Linked DNA regions of Sus scrofa. The protein of the gene in region 1 interacts with the protein of each later gene in a biochemical or structural test. Links are inferred from orthologs where the notes say so. Each region holds a gene or a part of one and is shown on either strand. Other genes may lie near its edges. The genes, in order: DNM2, SH3GL2 and SNX9.

The links.
Region 2: the proteins of DNM2 (region 1) and SH3GL2 interact in a biophysical measurement, tested with the Homo sapiens proteins (2 studies listed by BioGRID and IntAct, with this or other methods). The link is inferred for Sus scrofa from reciprocal best matches to the Homo sapiens genes DNM2 and SH3GL2.
Region 3: the proteins of DNM2 (region 1) and SNX9 form a complex in vitro, tested with the Homo sapiens proteins (2 studies listed by BioGRID and IntAct, with this or other methods). The link is inferred for Sus scrofa from reciprocal best matches to the Homo sapiens genes DNM2 and SNX9.

Annotation. Positions count from the first base shown.
Region 1 is NC_010444.4:69,471,851-69,477,580, forward strand, and holds the start of DNM2 (dynamin-2), read left to right. Parts: upstream 1-2,161; 5' UTR 2,162-2,394; coding exon 2,395-2,555; intron 2,556-5,730. UniProt on the Homo sapiens protein: Catalyzes the hydrolysis of GTP and utilizes this energy to mediate vesicle scission at plasma membrane during endocytosis and filament remodeling at many actin structures during organization of the actin cytoskeleton.
Region 2 is NC_010443.5:205,082,680-205,087,142, reverse strand, and holds part of SH3GL2 (endophilin-A1), read left to right. Parts: intron 1-1,638; coding exon 1,639-1,769; intron 1,770-4,343; coding exon 4,344-4,463. UniProt on the Homo sapiens protein: Implicated in synaptic vesicle endocytosis. May recruit other proteins to membranes with high curvature. Required for BDNF-dependent dendrite outgrowth.
Region 3 is NC_010443.5:9,165,106-9,170,252, reverse strand, and holds part of SNX9 (sorting nexin-9), read left to right. Parts: intron 1-654; coding exon 655-820; intron 821-2,631; coding exon 2,632-2,782; intron 2,783-5,147. UniProt on the Homo sapiens protein: Involved in endocytosis and intracellular vesicle trafficking, both during interphase and at the end of mitosis. Required for efficient progress through mitosis and cytokinesis. Required for normal formation of the cleavage furrow at the end of mitosis.

The DNA.
Region 1 (5,730 bases):
GCTTCATCTCATTGTCAGTAAACACAGCAGTGATAGTAAGTGTGATCTAGCAGGCACTTAGACTGAGCCTGGCACTGTTCTCGGTGGTTGTCAAGTGTATTTAATTCATTTTACAGATGAGGAAACTGAGGTTCAGAAAAATTGAGTCACTTGGTCATTACTACCCAGCAAATAAATAGACCTAGGATCTAGTCCAGATATGGCCAGTTACAGAGCTCTTAGAAGGTAAGGTTATTTATTTATTTATTGCAATTTTTTTTTTTTTTTTTTTTTTTTTTTTTTTTGGCTGTACCCACAGCATGCGGAATTTCCTGGGCCAGAGATCTAACTCAAGTTGCAGCAGTAACCCAAGCCACAGCAGTGACAATACTGAGTCCGTAACAACTAGGCCATCAGGGAACTTCTGAAGATAAGGTTTAAGTAAAAAAAAGTAGCACATTTATAGCATCTACAATTTAAATATCATAAAGAATTCAACTACATTTATCAGTTTGTGTATTCTTCCAGAAATTTTCCACCTGTACATTATTTTCGTGAATGTTGCCATCCTTTACATGCAGTTCTGTACCTTGCTTTTCTTCCTTTTCTCAGTGTAGCTCAAATTGTTTATATGTCACTACATGAAAACTTCCTCAATCCTTTTTTTATAGCTGCTACATAGTATTTATTTCATGAGCTCCATGGATGGGCAGTTAGGATGTTTCCAGGTTTCTGCCATCATAGTCAAGGCTGCAGTGCCAATCATTTTGGGCCATCTTTTTGCCTGTCTCTGAGACCTGGGTCTTGGGTCAGGGAGCAGGCCTGTAACTTTGGCCACTCTGCCATCCTCTTACTCATTTTTTCTTCTTTCCCCTGTTACTGCCCTGCCCCCTCAGCCCACTTCCCCACCTCCTTTGCTCCTGGCTCCTTATTGGGCTGCCTCTGGCCTATCTTTGTCCAGAGGAATCAGATCACTTCTGTTAAAGTCAGTCCATCTATTCCCGGCTTCCTTTTTTTTTTGGCTGCACCGTCAGCACATGGAAATTCTCGGGCCAGGGATCGAATCCCAGCGACAGCGTCATAGTTGCCACAGCGTCAGAATTTAAACCCACTGCGCCGGCTGAGGGACCGAACCCTCGCTGCCACAGAGACAAAGCCAGATCCTTAACCCGCTGTATCACAGCCGGAACTCCCCCGCCTCTTCCAAGTGGTCAAGAGTCCCAGTTCCCAGAATCCCCAGCGTTGCCTGCAAAATAATAGGGGAGAACTTTCTGGGGAGAAGTTCCGTTGAGTTTCATTGAGTACTCAAAAAGATCCAAGATGTGCTAAAGTTGAAGAATCAGAGGAACGACGTTGGAGCGTCAGCTGCATCAACACAGGCGTCATCAGACGGTATTCCTACGGGAGGACACAGCATTCGCCAGGGTCTGGAGGCGTGGGAGCTAGCGAGGCCGAGCTAGCCTGCTTCTCCCTAGGAACCACTAATCGCCTGATTCTCACCTTCAAAGTGCACTGGGTCCCCGCGCAAGGAGCTGATTTGTGAGCTCACGGCCAAGACGCATTCTGGGACTTGTAGTTTTTTTTAAGAGCCGAGGAACTCAGGCGTGACCATCACCACTGGGTCCACAAGGTGGCGCACGTTGGCGAGTACTTTGGGTCTACTCTTTGCTTCAGAAGACTAGCCGACCTACGACAATCACAAGTAAGCGCTTGTGATTCTTTGATGGACAGATACATCGTCCAATTAGCGTCAAGATTCGAGGTTAAATCCCACCCTCTTGATTTGTTGGCTGACGGAACGGAGTGATATTTATATAAACCAATGGGAAATTTTTAGGGAACTAGGTAGAGTCGAGTGACAGATCTGTGTTTAAGAATCGATCCTTAATATCACTGGCCAATTTTGTTGACTGGCCGGTCTCCCTGCCAATAAAACTGGCGGATGGGCCTGCCATCCGGGAACTCCCCCAATGGGCGGGGCTAACATGCCTTTTTCCGAAACACCGCCTCCCGGCCTGAACAACTCGCTTCACGCTGCTATTGGCTGTTCTACAATAGCGACAGTTCTCGCGTCCAATGAGACTGAGAGAAAGTCCCCGGGGGGGAAGGTTCATTCAGCTGTAGGTCCGTGCCTCCCTTTCACTGGCTTGGGTGCACGAGCGACAGCGCGGCTGACCAACCGGGGGTGGGGCGAGGGCTTTGGGCGCAGCCCCAGGGCCCCGGGCGGGAGGTCGCTTGGGTCGGGTGTCGCCTGAGAACCGGATGAGGCGGCGACCGTGAGGCCGAGCCGGGAGCGGGCGTCGCGCCGAGGCCCGGGCGGACGGGGAGCAACGGCCGTGGACGCCGCGGGGCCGCGTCGTTGAAGGCAGGGGCGGGTGGGGAGCGCGGGGCGCTCGGGCCGGGGCCACCGGCGCCATGGGCAACCGCGGGATGGAAGAACTGATCCCGCTGGTCAACAAGCTGCAGGATGCCTTCAGCTCCATCGGCCAGAGCTGCCACCTGGACCTGCCGCAGATTGCCGTGGTGGGCGGCCAGAGCGCCGGCAAGAGCTCAGTGCTCGAGAACTTCGTGGGCCGGTGAGCGAGCGTGGCGGCGACGGCGGGCGGGCGGCGGCCTAGGGCGCGGAGGGCGGACCGGGAATGGCGCGCCCTGCGCCGCCGGCGTAACTGCGGCGCTTGCGTGCCCGCGACGGGGACGGGGACAGGGAGGCGGGCCCTGTGGGACGCCCTGGGCGGAGGGCTCCTTGCAGGAGGTGGGGAGCCGGCCCAGGCTAAAGGGGTATCTCATGGGCGAGGGCCAGAAGGTGCGGTGGATTTCTGCCGATTCTCTGGTCCTCAGCTATAGTGGGTGAATTCTACCATATGGTTGCCTGTGTGTCAGGGGCAGGTTCCCCTTCCCTGTCTGTCCGAAACCTGTCACTTAGATATCCATTGGGCCGACCCCTGCGGTCTGACTGGCTGTTCATTTATCTGGAGCAGTTCCTGCCGTCTCGTTGGCTGTCTCTCTGTCCTGGATAGGCTTCTGCCACCACCACCATTTGGCTGTCCATCTGTCCAGTACCGCAGAGCAGCCCCCTGCTGCCTGGCCAGCTATCTAGGATGACCTGTCCTGTCCGGCTGCCCATCCGTGCACTTCACAGACTTTAACACTTATCTCTTCCTCTCTTGGGTTACCTCCAGCTGGCCTCTGCTGTCTGACTGGCTGGCTGACCCTTGGGGACCCTGTTGCCTGGCTCTCCTGGGCTGACTCTAAAGCTTAGTGCCTGGTGAACGCTGGCTCCTCTTTTCCAAGTGGAACCTTTGTCTGTCTGTCCTACTATCTGACCTTCTCCTAATCTGCCTGTTTGTGCCATAGCGGACTGACTGTCTGACCCCACCACTGTGGCAGGGGGTGGTGGAGGATGCAGAGAGAAAGGGAGCTGAAGGGTGAGACTGGAACTCCTCTCAATTGGAAGTAGAACCCTCGGGGGAATCTTTCTCCAGGACTCTTTCCTGGTCCATGTCAGGGTACCTCCATGGCCCTAGAACATAGGGGCCAGCCCCCCAAGCTAAAGCCTGCAAATGTGGGGGGCCCTTCCTGGATCCTGGGAAGGAACTTCTTACCTGATCAGGCAAGATCTGGAATACAGCCTTTTTTGGATAGTTCTGAGAAGTCTCAGTTTGGCTCTCTGTCCTGTGGACATATTCCATTCTGTGGGCTGTTTCCTAGGATTCAGGAAGCTAATGGATGTAATTAGGTTCTTCTCTCTCCCTTCCCCCACTTCTTGCCCTTCTGCCTCCCAGATGGGTGGCCACTTCTCTATTTGTCTAGGAAGGACTCCATTTGTGACTGGGGCTGCCAAATGATAATATCATAGTCATTATTATCGTGATTATTGTTGTTATCAGTGTTAAGAGGTAACGTTCATCCTACAGGCCCCAAGCCAAGTTCTTTCTTGTTCCACTCAGAAGACAGCCTGTTTACCCAAGACCACCAGGCAGGAGGAGCTCAGTGGAGCCCAGCTTTGCTCCTGCCTTCCCAGAGGCCTGGGGGTTTTGCTCCCAGCAGCGTGAATTTCCTCCTTTGCTGCTTTGTCTCTGGCGAACTGCCTTCTGTCTACTGTGGCGGAAAGGCGTGGACTTGGGATCAACCAGGCCTGGGCTGAGCCTTGGGCTGGGCTATGGGCCCCCTGCTTGGCCATCTTCCTGCCTGGCCTGCCCAGGCTTCCAGTGGGCATCCGCAAAGCTCTGTCCATTTCATTTGCCTTGTGATCTTGCACAGATTGTTTTACCTCTCTGAGCCTCAGCTGCCCCTCCTAAAAATGGGGTGATGGACCCTCAACAAGACAGTTGCGAGGATGCAGTTACATGATGTGTTGAAAGTGCTTACTTAGCATGGTGCCTGGCACACAGTAGGTCTGTATGAATGGAGTTATTATTCACCAGGCTGATTCCTTTCATATTGACAACAAAAGCTAGTTAGAATTAAAGTGCTCTAGGAGCTCCCACTCTGACGCAGTGGAATTGGTGGCATCTTAGGAGCAATGGGACAAGGGTTCAATCCCCCACCTGGCACAGTGTGTTAAAGGCTCTGGCATAGCTGCAGCTGCAGCTTAGGTCTCCACTGCAGCTCGGATCTAATCCCTGGCCTGGGAGCTCCATATGCTGCGGGGCAGCCAAAATGAAAAAAAAAAAAAAAGAAAGTGCTCTAAAGTTAGACACTGGGGAGTTCCTGTTGTGGCGCAGCGGAAACGAATCCGACTAGTAACCATGAGATTGTGGGTTTGATCCCTGGCCTCACTCACTGGGTTAAGGATCTGGTGCGTTGCCATGAGCTGTGGTGTAGGTCACAGACACGACTCGGATCCTGTGTTGCTGTGGCTGTGGTGTAGGCCAGCAGCTGTAACTCTGACTCCACTCATAGCCTGGAAACCTCCATATGCCATAGGTGCGGCCCTTAAAGAAAAAATTAATAAGTTACACACTGGACTTCATTTGAACATTCTGAGGCTGGCACTGCTGTGATCCCATTGTCCAGAGGGGAAAACTGAGGCTTAGAGAACCGAGCATTCAGTGACGGATTGAGCGACTCCAGGTCTCTCTCTCCCACCCCCCGCTCCAACCCTCTGCTGTACCTTTCCCTCCCACCCACCCTGGCAACTGGTGACTGCCAACTGCTGCTGAGCTGGCTCCTGTGGCAACCTCCTTCCAGAGCCTGCAGCGTGACATTGGCATTAACCAGGCATTAATTCAGGGCTCGAGGACCAAAACTGTAAAAAGCCCTCTCTTTGGGTGTGGAGTGCTCAAACGGAGCCAACTTCTTTTTATTTCTGGAGTGTGGAGAAGCCTTCTCAGCTCCAAAGCCCTGCCATAAGGGGGATGGCAGGCAGGACTCGCTTTAAATCCCACTGCCTGCTTCTTTCTCTGACTTTGGCTGAACTGTGCTGTGGGGCTCAGGGACTGGTTCCTCTCTTCTACCCCAAGGACCCACACAGAGGCTCTCCTGGCAGTTTTCAAGGAACAAAAGGGAGAGCATGTTGGCTCTGTGCCTGGGGGCAGATCTGGCTGCTCCATTTCCCTGCTTCCTCCTTGTGGGTTTTTCTAAGAACATGGTCCGAGTGAGAATTACCCAGTTAGCTCAGTCCTGTACTGGGGGTTGCAGGTCGGTGGTCCTGGGGAGCAAAACCTGCTTGTTAGGTCTTTTGTTTCTTCAGCATGGAGATAATTTTTTTTTTTAATGGCCATACCCACGGCATATGGAAGTTCCCAGGCT
Region 2 (4,463 bases), on another chromosome or scaffold:
CACCAGCTTTTATTCTCAGCTGTGGCCAGATTTGACTCTCACAGCTGTTGATACGGCCATAAATGTGCAAGGCAGCCTCCACTTATGATGCTGTATGAGGAGCAACTTCCTGACCTGTTTCTATCTGGCCAGCCTCCTCTTCTTGGTATCTTCCTTGACTAGTGCTTTGATTGTGCACCTCCCCACAGTGCACACTTGTGGAAATATGTGTGTGACATGCCAAAGCCTCTAAAAAGGCTTCAAACCATGCCCTTCAAAGTACTAAAGAAATTTTATATGTCTTTGTGACAGTTGTTAAGCATGGAGGCCACTTTTCTTGTTTTCCCCTAAAATGTTTAGAGTCACTGTTACTCTTCAATCACCATACCCTAAACTCTCCCCACCCTTGCAGATCTGCCCTACACTTTGCTTAATGACCACCTAAAAGGGTGGGAAGTACTCAGGGGTGAGCAGAATACTTTGCCTGCCTGTACCTTTCCACCTTTCTTCCTTCTTCCTTGGCTTCTTTCCTTTCCCTCTGTGCTGTTCTCAGAACACACAGTATTTCCTCCTCTCCTCCCCCCACACCTTCTCAAGCTCTGCATGGAATAACTTTCTTCTGGAAACAACTGTTTATCTAGAAATGACTTCTGATGATCTTTCACCTCTGTCCTTAAGCCTTCTCCAGCCTCCCCTGGGACAGGTAGCTCCTCCCCATCTCACTGCCAGCTCCATCCCTGTGTTCCTGCAGCATTTGGTACAAATCTCCATGGCAGCACTTATTACAATTCACGGTAATCAGTTGTTTGTGTTCTGTCTCCACTCCAGACCATAAGCTGTTTGAGGGTAAGAATTGTGTCTTACTCACCTTTTGTGTTCCTGGTGCCTAGCGCAGTGCAGACTTGCAGAGTGAGCTCGGAATTAATGAGGGAGAACCTGAGAGGAAGGATGAAAGCAATGAGGGTATAACTGCAGAGAGCGTGACCCCAGCGCCCAAGTGGAGACAGACACAGATAAGAAAACTGAGGGTCCTTTTCAGATTTCACCTGCTCCACAGTGGTAGATTGGTAGCTAGTCAAAGCATTTTCTCGATTTAATTGCTTTTCTTTTTGCTTCTTAATTGACTACACATCCCACCTCCCACCTCCTACCTTTTCTTTTTCTTTCTTTCTTTCTTTCTTTCTTTCTTTCTTTCTTTCTTTCTTTCTTTCTTTCTTTCTTTCTTTCTTTCTTTCTTCCTTTCTTTCTTCCTTCCTTCCTTCCTTCCTTCCTTCCTTCCTTCCTTTCTTCCTTTCTTCCTTTCTTCCTTTCTTTCTTCCTTTCTTTCTTCCTTTCTTTCTTCCTTTCTTTCTTCCTTTCTTTCTTCCTTTCTTTCTTTCTTTCTTTCTCTGTCTGTCTGTCTGTCTGTCTTTGTAAAGGCCACACCTGCAGCATATGGAGGTTTGCAGGTTAGGGGTTGAATCAAACTACAGCTGCCAGCCACAGTCACAGACACAGCCACGCCAGATCTGAGACATGTGCTTGACCTACAGCACAGCTCACAGCAACGCCGGATCCTTAACCCACTAAGTAGGGCTAGGGATTGACCCTTCATCCTCATGTCAGATTCGTTTCCAACAAGCCACGACAGGAACTCCCCATCTTTTCTCTTTAATGCAGAATAAGACAAGCTTCATCTCAGCCTCGAAGGGAGTATCAGCCCAAACCTCGAATGAGCCTGGAGTTTCCAACTGGGGACAGCACTCAGCCCAATGGGGGCCTCTCCCACACAGGCACCCCCAAACCTGCAGGTAAGTATCGGATCCCTGGTACATGGCCTTGGCCACGCCCCATGAACACTCTTCCAGAAATTCTAGGAGCAATCCCATCTGGCTACATAAGAATTATGCAGGAATATATTTCTTACAGGATGGTTTTGTCAGGTAGAAACTCTCTTAAAGGAGTTCCTTCTTGTCTCATTCATTCTCTTTCCCTCCTTTACTCTCTCTCTCCTCTGTAAAGCCTTCATTGTACGTCCCTTTTACCCTCAGTCTCCATCGGCGCACACTTACCTGCTTTAACACATTTGATACTGACCCTCTTTTGTGGTCTTTAAATCACTGTAATATGTCAGTTGAGTTGTAGGGATGTCATCTTCTTTCCTGTCTGTCCCTTTCTGTGATTCCAGCATGCGTGGGGGTGAGTGCCCCAAGGCAGTGCATGCCCTTGTACACTCACACATACCCCACAGATGGCAGCTCCAGAAACCTGCTGCGTTGGGTTTCTTGAGGCCCACGAACATGAGGGTGAATATATTTGCAGATGAATATATTTTGAATCCCACTATCTGCTGGATTTTCTTCCCCTCCCCACCCTCCACCAGTTCATTGTGCTATGGTAACAGGTAGGTGCATTAAAAGCTGAAAATTATTTTCTTTCAGAGATGTAGATGTATAACTGATTGTATTATTCTTTTACTTGGTCCCACTGCTTTCTACCCCCTGCATACAGAACAGATAAAAGCCTGTGCTTGAGGTATATTCATCCTTAAGAATCTGCTTGGTCGAAGAGTGGGAACTGCCTTATCCTGGATATGGATGTTAAGGATGGGAAGCTCTCTCCTGTTTCCCTGTATCCCCAGTGCTGGATGTTCTACAGAAGGAAATGTTTTATGAGATGCTCTCAGGAGACCATGAAGGCAAAAAGGGAGGGTGTGATGACCATTGGCTCTGCTCCTCGGGCTTACCTCTGCTGCTCAGAGCCCTCGTGTGGGGCTTTTGCTGGTTATAAGGACTAGGCACATAATGTAACCTGGCTTCTCCCTGCTCAGAAAGCAAACACATATCTCATTTTTCTTTTGGAGACTTGTTAATTTGCTTTCTCTAAGTTAAAAAAAATCATTATCAGAGTTTCCGTCGTGGCTCAGTGGTTAATGAATCCGACTAGGAACCAGGAGGTTGCGGGTTCGGTCCCTGGCCTTGCTCAGTGGGTTAAAGGATCCGGCGTTGCCGTGAGTTGTGGTGTAGGTCGCAGATGCGGCTCGGATCCTGTGTTGCTGTGGCTCTGGTGTAGGCCGGTGGCTATGGCTCTGATTCGACCCCTAGCCTGGGAACCTCCATATGCCATGGGAACAGCCCTAGAAAAGACAAAAAGACCAAAAAAAAAAAAAAAAAATCATTGTCCCCCTTCAGAGCCATCCAGGTGGCATGGAGCTGTTTCCACTTGCCTGAGTTTATACGCATGTGTGTATGCCTGCTATGGTAATACTTTTGCTCATTTAACAGTTTTCTCTCTCTCTCTCTCTTTTTTTTTTTTTTTTTGTCTCTTTTTTAGGGCCACACCCATGGCATCTGGAGGTTCCCAGGCTAGGGGTTGAATTGGAGCTGTAGCTGCCAGCCTACGCTACAGCCACAGCAATGCAGGATCTGAGCTGCGTCCGAGACCTACGCCACAGCTCATGGCAATGCTGGATCTTTAACTCACTGAGTGAGGCCAGGGATCAAACCCACGTCCTCATGAAAACTAGTTGGATTTGATAACTCTGAGCCACAATGGGAACTCCAACACAGTTCTCTTTTAAGATAGGATTCCATCCTTCATTATTTAATTCAATGTAGAATCTATTATTTTTTATATTCCATAGCTCTGATACATACCTCTTATTTATATAGGTAATGTGATGTGGAGGTGGAAATTGTATCATTTTTTATGTAATCCCATTTAATAGCCACGGTAGTACTGTGAAGTAAGTTCTTTTAGTTCCAATTTTAGAAAAACTGAGAGTGAAGTGCCATGTGCAAGGGTCACGGAGAGTAGCATCTCGAACCCAGTGTTTTATATTGTCTTGTTTTCATCACATTACTGTGGCTCTCCAGAGGCTGGGGATCTTTATTTTTTAAAAGTAAGAAATGCACCATTATTCTGAAGTCCCAAAGCCCTGTCTGTATACTTTACTGTTTCACACGTGCAGAGATTTTAAAGAGGTTAGCATGAAAAGAATTCTGTCCATGCTCCATTATGAATCTAAAGTCCATGAAGACTCCTTAAGTCATTGGGACTCCTATTGCTGAGCACTGTAGGATGGTCAGCCTTGTTGAAATGTGTTGTACCTACCTATCATGAGAATAGATGTGGCCATGTTTTCATACTGGAAATAGAAACAGGAATTCAACAACTTCCGGAGATGTAAGAAAGCTTCTGAAGATGGGGAGAGGGCAAGGTGCCATGCCACAGATACTGGGGACCAGTGGCAAGAGGAAGCTTCAGCAGGAAGAGGAGTGAGGGAGGAACCCAGGGGGACAGTAGGCTGGGCAGGCGCAGCATGCAGCAGATATGTGAGTTAAATTCCCCTGTCTCTCTGTGTTCTCTCCTGCTCTGTTCCTCAGGTGCCCCAATGGATCAGCCCTGCTGCCGAGCTCTGTATGACTTTGAACCTGAAAATGAAGGGGAGTTGGGTTTTAAAGAGGGTGATATCATCACACTCACCAACCAGATTGATGAGAACT
Region 3 (5,147 bases), on another chromosome or scaffold:
CCTTCAGGTCAGTTTTTAACATAGAAAACAGTTGGTATTTATGTGTTACGTATTCCATTACATACTCAGGGAAGTGTAAGAACCTGCCGGGTTCAGAAAAGTAGTTATTCGAGGGAAGAAAAAAAAGGGAGTTTCTTTGTGACTGGTTTTAAAGTTCCCAGGCAAACATGACACTTTTTTTTTTCTTTTCTGCCTTTTTGCCTTTTCTTTTGAGGGCTGCTCCCACGGCATATGGAGGTTCCCAGGCTAGGGGTCGAATCAGAGCTGTAGCCACCGGTCTTCACCACAGCCATAGCAATGCAGGATCTGAGCCGAGTCTGCAACCTACACCACAGCTGACGGCAACGCCGGATCCTTAACCCGCTGAGCGAGGCCAGGGATCAAACCTGCAACCTCATGGTTTTAGTCGGATTCATTAACCACTGAGCCACGATGAGAACTCCACTTGACACATTTTTAACATCACTAAAATTCGGTTGATGGCTACTTTTTTGCTTTCCTACTTTTGAAAATGTATTATTTAAATTTTAAACTGTTATAGATTTCTATCTATTTTTTCAGCATCCCTGTTCAATTATTATGTGAGTCCTACTGAATTGAGTAATGCTTTCTAGAAGTCACAAACCCTTTCTTCTTTTTTACCCTTGACCACAGGTCAGCAGTGGCAATGACCCCTGGTCAGCCTGGAATCCCTCCAAGTCTGGAAACTGGGATAACACGGATGGCTGGGGAGCCAAGCCAGAGGGGGCTGCAGCTCAGAGAAACACTTCCAACAACTGGGACGCTGCCTTCGGTCATCCCCAGGCCTACCAAGGCCCAGGTGAGGAGGAGGCTCTGCCGTCGGTGGACAGGTTTCATCTCAGGAACCGTTCTCAGCGGCCCGCATTCACTAACAGCAGACTTGTTTGTCTGGATCCAGATGTAGGCATTCTTTTCTTTTTTGCCTTTTGGCCTTTTTTTCTTTTTTGCTTTTTAGGGCCACACCTGTAGCATATGGAAGTTCCCAGGATAGGGGTCAAATTGGAGCTGCAGGCCTGCACCAAGCCTCAGCAAATCGGGATTCAGGCCACATCTGTAACCTCCACCACAGCTCATGGCAATGCTGGATCCTTAACCCCCTGAGCGAGGCCGGGGATCAGACCTGCATCCTCATGGATGCTGGTCAGGCTCTTAACCTGCTGAGCCACAATGGGAATTCCCAGTGGTCTTCAGTTATGAGCTTTAGTCCACTCTCAGTTATCTGTCATGGAGTCACAAATAGAAACGCTTGTGGGCCCAGGTTCATAAAGCAAAGCCACAGAGCCACCCCATGCGGAAGATGGAGGTGGGCAGCCCTGCTCTGGAGCGGATTGACACCATTGCAGAGCTGAGCTGGTGTTTCTGGGCCTCCACAGTTCCAGAGACTGGAATCTCAATTTTTATGTCATCTTCCCACTTTAAAATCTTAGCAGCTAACACACTTGTTTTTAAATCTTGGCTCCAAAAATGTGCACACAGATTGAATATGGTCATCAGCGGCCAGTTTATGACCTCTCACTTGGCTCTTCTGTCTTTTCTTTACCTCTCTGACTCCCAGGTTCTTAACAGAAATTGAGGCAAAAGCAGAATTTCTAAAAGGAGAAACACTTGAGGAATTAGGAAAGGCTGTTTATGTCTGTTCTGGGATTAAATAAAACAAGGAGAGATCCACCCAGTAATTTTAATGATTCCCATATGAGTACATTGTGCCAGGAATTGAATGTGCTGAATGGCGGGGGACTCGCCTGCAGGAGCCGTACGGGCCCAGGTGCTGGTTCCAAGCTCCCAGTCGTGGACAGGAGCTTGGCTGCTGGCCGGCCCAGGAGCTGTGGGTGGAGCAGAAACGGCGAGACTAGACTGCTGACACCTGCTCCTCGAGTAGCTTGGCGTGGCCCGGGCGTCTTGGCTCAGATCCTTCTAATACTTTCTTTCCCCTCCTTTTCTGTTTCGCCATTCGTCTCTCAGCTTCTCTCGATGGCACTCTTTGGGCAGAAATCCAGGGCAGTTTCCTGCCTGATGCTAAGGGGACATCTCAGGGAGACAGAGGCACGGAGCAGTGGAAGAGAAAGGGCGGGGGCAGCGAGGCTGGCAGCGCCTTGCCCGACACAGACTCTTCCCGGAATGCTGGGCCCCTGGCGCCAGCTGGCTGCTGCCCGTCCCTCTCCTCTCTCCCTCCTCCACCAGCTCGCCCTTCTCACCTGCGTTATCATCAGTGTTGAACAGCTGCTTTTCAGAGACCTAGGGTCCCCTTCGGCCCCTCCAGTCTTCTCTGTTTAAAGGGTGTTTGATCTGCCTGACCTATCAGCATGCCAGCCTTTGGAAGCCCTTCCCTGGCCCACTGAGCGTGTTAATAGTTGGCATCTACCTGAAGGTACTGGGACTGGCAACCCACTTTAAGTTGTTTCCAGCTTGTCTTTTGCTCTAAAAAAATCTTCCAGCCTCAAAACTGACCGCAGAGCGTGTACTTGTCAGGTCTTTAGTGTGGTCCTGCCCCCGCCCCTTTTCTCCGAGTTTTCGTACACGGTTAACCCGGTTGACGGTTGTTATCAGAAAAGTGTCATCCCGTTTTTATCTTGTTTTCCTTTGCTGACGATCTTCTTTGCCTCCCGCCAGCCACTGGGGACGATGACGACTGGGACGAAGACTGGGATGAGCCCAAGTCGTCGTCTCCCTACTTCAAGGACGGAGAGTCGGCCGAAGCCGGAGGAGCCCAGCGGGGAAACAGCCGGGCGGGCTCCTCCTCCATGAAGCTGCCGCTTAACAAGTAGGTTTCAGGGCACTGGGGGAACATGAACTCTCTGTAGAAACAGATATAAGATGGGGTTCCTGTCGTGGCGCAGTGGAAACAAATCTGACTAGGAACCATGAGGTTGCGGGTTTGATCCCTGGTCTTGCTCAGCGGGTTAAGGATCCGGCGTTGCCGTGAGCTGTGGTGTAGGTCAGAGACGCGGCTCGGATCCTGAGTTGCTGTGGCTGTGGCGTAGGTCGGCGGCTATGGCTCCAAATCGACCCCTAGGCTGGGAACCTCCATATGCTTCAGGTGCGGCCCTGAAAAAACAAAAAGACCGAAAAAAAAAAAGAAAGAAAGAGACAGATGTAAGATGCAACAAGGAGATCCCATTGTGGCTCAGCAGGCTAAGAACCTGACATCGTGTCCGTGAGGATGCAGGTTTGATCCCTGGCCTCACACAGTGGGTTAAGGGTCCAGTGTTGCCACAAGCTGTGGTGTAGGTCATAGATGTGACTTAGATCTGACGTTGCTGTGGCTGTGGCATAGGCTGCATCTGCAGCTCTAATTCAACCCCTGGCCCAGGAACTTCCATATGCCGCAGGTACAGCCATAAAAAGAAAAGAAAAAAATAAGATGATGATATGAAGAGGCACTTTTCTCTTGTCAGTGGTCTACCAAGTTTTGGGTGTGATTTGATCATGTTTATGTGGCTCTTTGCTTGGAGGTTTGTTTGAAAGTTTTGGGTTTTTTTTTTTCATCTTAAAGTGAAATATTTGTTCCATGTAATGATATGCTGAATATTGGTTTTATCAACTCATTGCTGATGTACAGCAAAGCTAAACATAATGTTAACTTTCTTACAAATGTTTCACTATTCATTGGTCTTGTGCCCCGTGCCAGGCTTTGTGCAAAGCAGTTTGTGCACATTCTCATGCGACCCTCTGTTTCACTCTGGGAGCAGCCGAAGCCCAGAGAGGGAAGTCACTGCCCAGGTTCACACGGGTAGAAGTGATTTCCTCGGGACTCAGGCCAGCCCCTGACCTCCTGAGCGCACACTCACAGCTGCTCTGCCTCATGTGCCTCAGACTTTGTTTTCACTGGGCTTATCCTTAGGTTTGTCCTGTTTTGAGTGGTGCCGTAGAGACGCTGCCTCGCGGAAAGCGTGCGGAAGAGGAGGGCTGTGGACACAGCCCTGTGGGTTCCCCGGTAGAGAGTTCTGGATGAGTCTGTAGTTTACACCCAGTGGAGCTTGAAGGACATAGAGTCTATGACTTCCAGACGATTTATCTTCAAATACTCTTCTTACATTTAAAAAGTTTTCTGGAATTCCCGTCGTGGCGCAGTGGTTAACGAATCCGACTAGGAACCATGAGGTCTCGGGTTCCGTCCCTGCCCTTGCTCAGTGGGTTAATGATCCGGCATTGCCGTGAGCTGTGGTGTAGGTTGCAGACGCGGCTCGGATCCCGAGTTGCTGTGGCTCTGGCGTAGGCCAGTGGCTACAGCTCCGATTCAACCCCTAGCCTGGGAACCTCCATATACCGCGGAAGCGGCCCAAGAGATAGCAACAACAACAACAACAACAACGACAAAAGACAAAAAGACAAAAGACAAAAAAAAAAAAAAAAAAAAAAAGACAAAGATAAAAAGTTTTCTAGCTGTGAGCTGTGGTGCAGGTCGCAGACGCGGCTCAGATCCCACGTTGCTGTGGCTCTGGTGTAGGCCGGCAGCTGCAGCTCCGATTTGACCCCTAGCCTGGCAACCTCCACGGGCCGCGGGTGCAGCCCTCAAAAGACAGAAGACAAAAAAGAAAAAAAAAGCAGTTTTTCTAGGGAAGTTCCCTGGTGGTGTCTTGGTTAGGACTCTGCACTTTAACCACCGTGGCCCAGCTTCAGTCCCTGGTCTGGGAACTGAGATCCCACATCAGGCCACTGTACGCTATGGCCAAAAAAAGAGTTTTTCTGGAGTTCCCGTCATGGCGCAGTGGTTAACGAATCCGACTAGGAACCATGAGGTCGCGGGTTCGGTTCCTGCCCTTGCTCAGTGGGTTAAGGATCCGGCGTTGCCGTGAGCTGTGGTGTAGGTTGCAGACACGGCTCGGATCCCTCGTTGCTGTGGCTCTGGCATAGCCGGTGGCTATGGCTCCAATTGGACCCCTGGCCTGGGAACCTCCATATGCCGTGGGAGCGACCTAAGAAATAGCAAAAAGACCAAAAAAAAAGGAGTTTTTCTCAGTGTTTCAAATTTGTGATTCCAAGCAGACATCAAAGAATGTTATCTTTGTCCAGAAAAAAATTGTAAACATGTTTGCTCGATGTCTTGAGGTACATGTCTAAAGTTTAATGAGCCCCACAAGTTCTGCTTGTTAAATAGCATCTGGTGCTTAAATGAGTTACCTTTT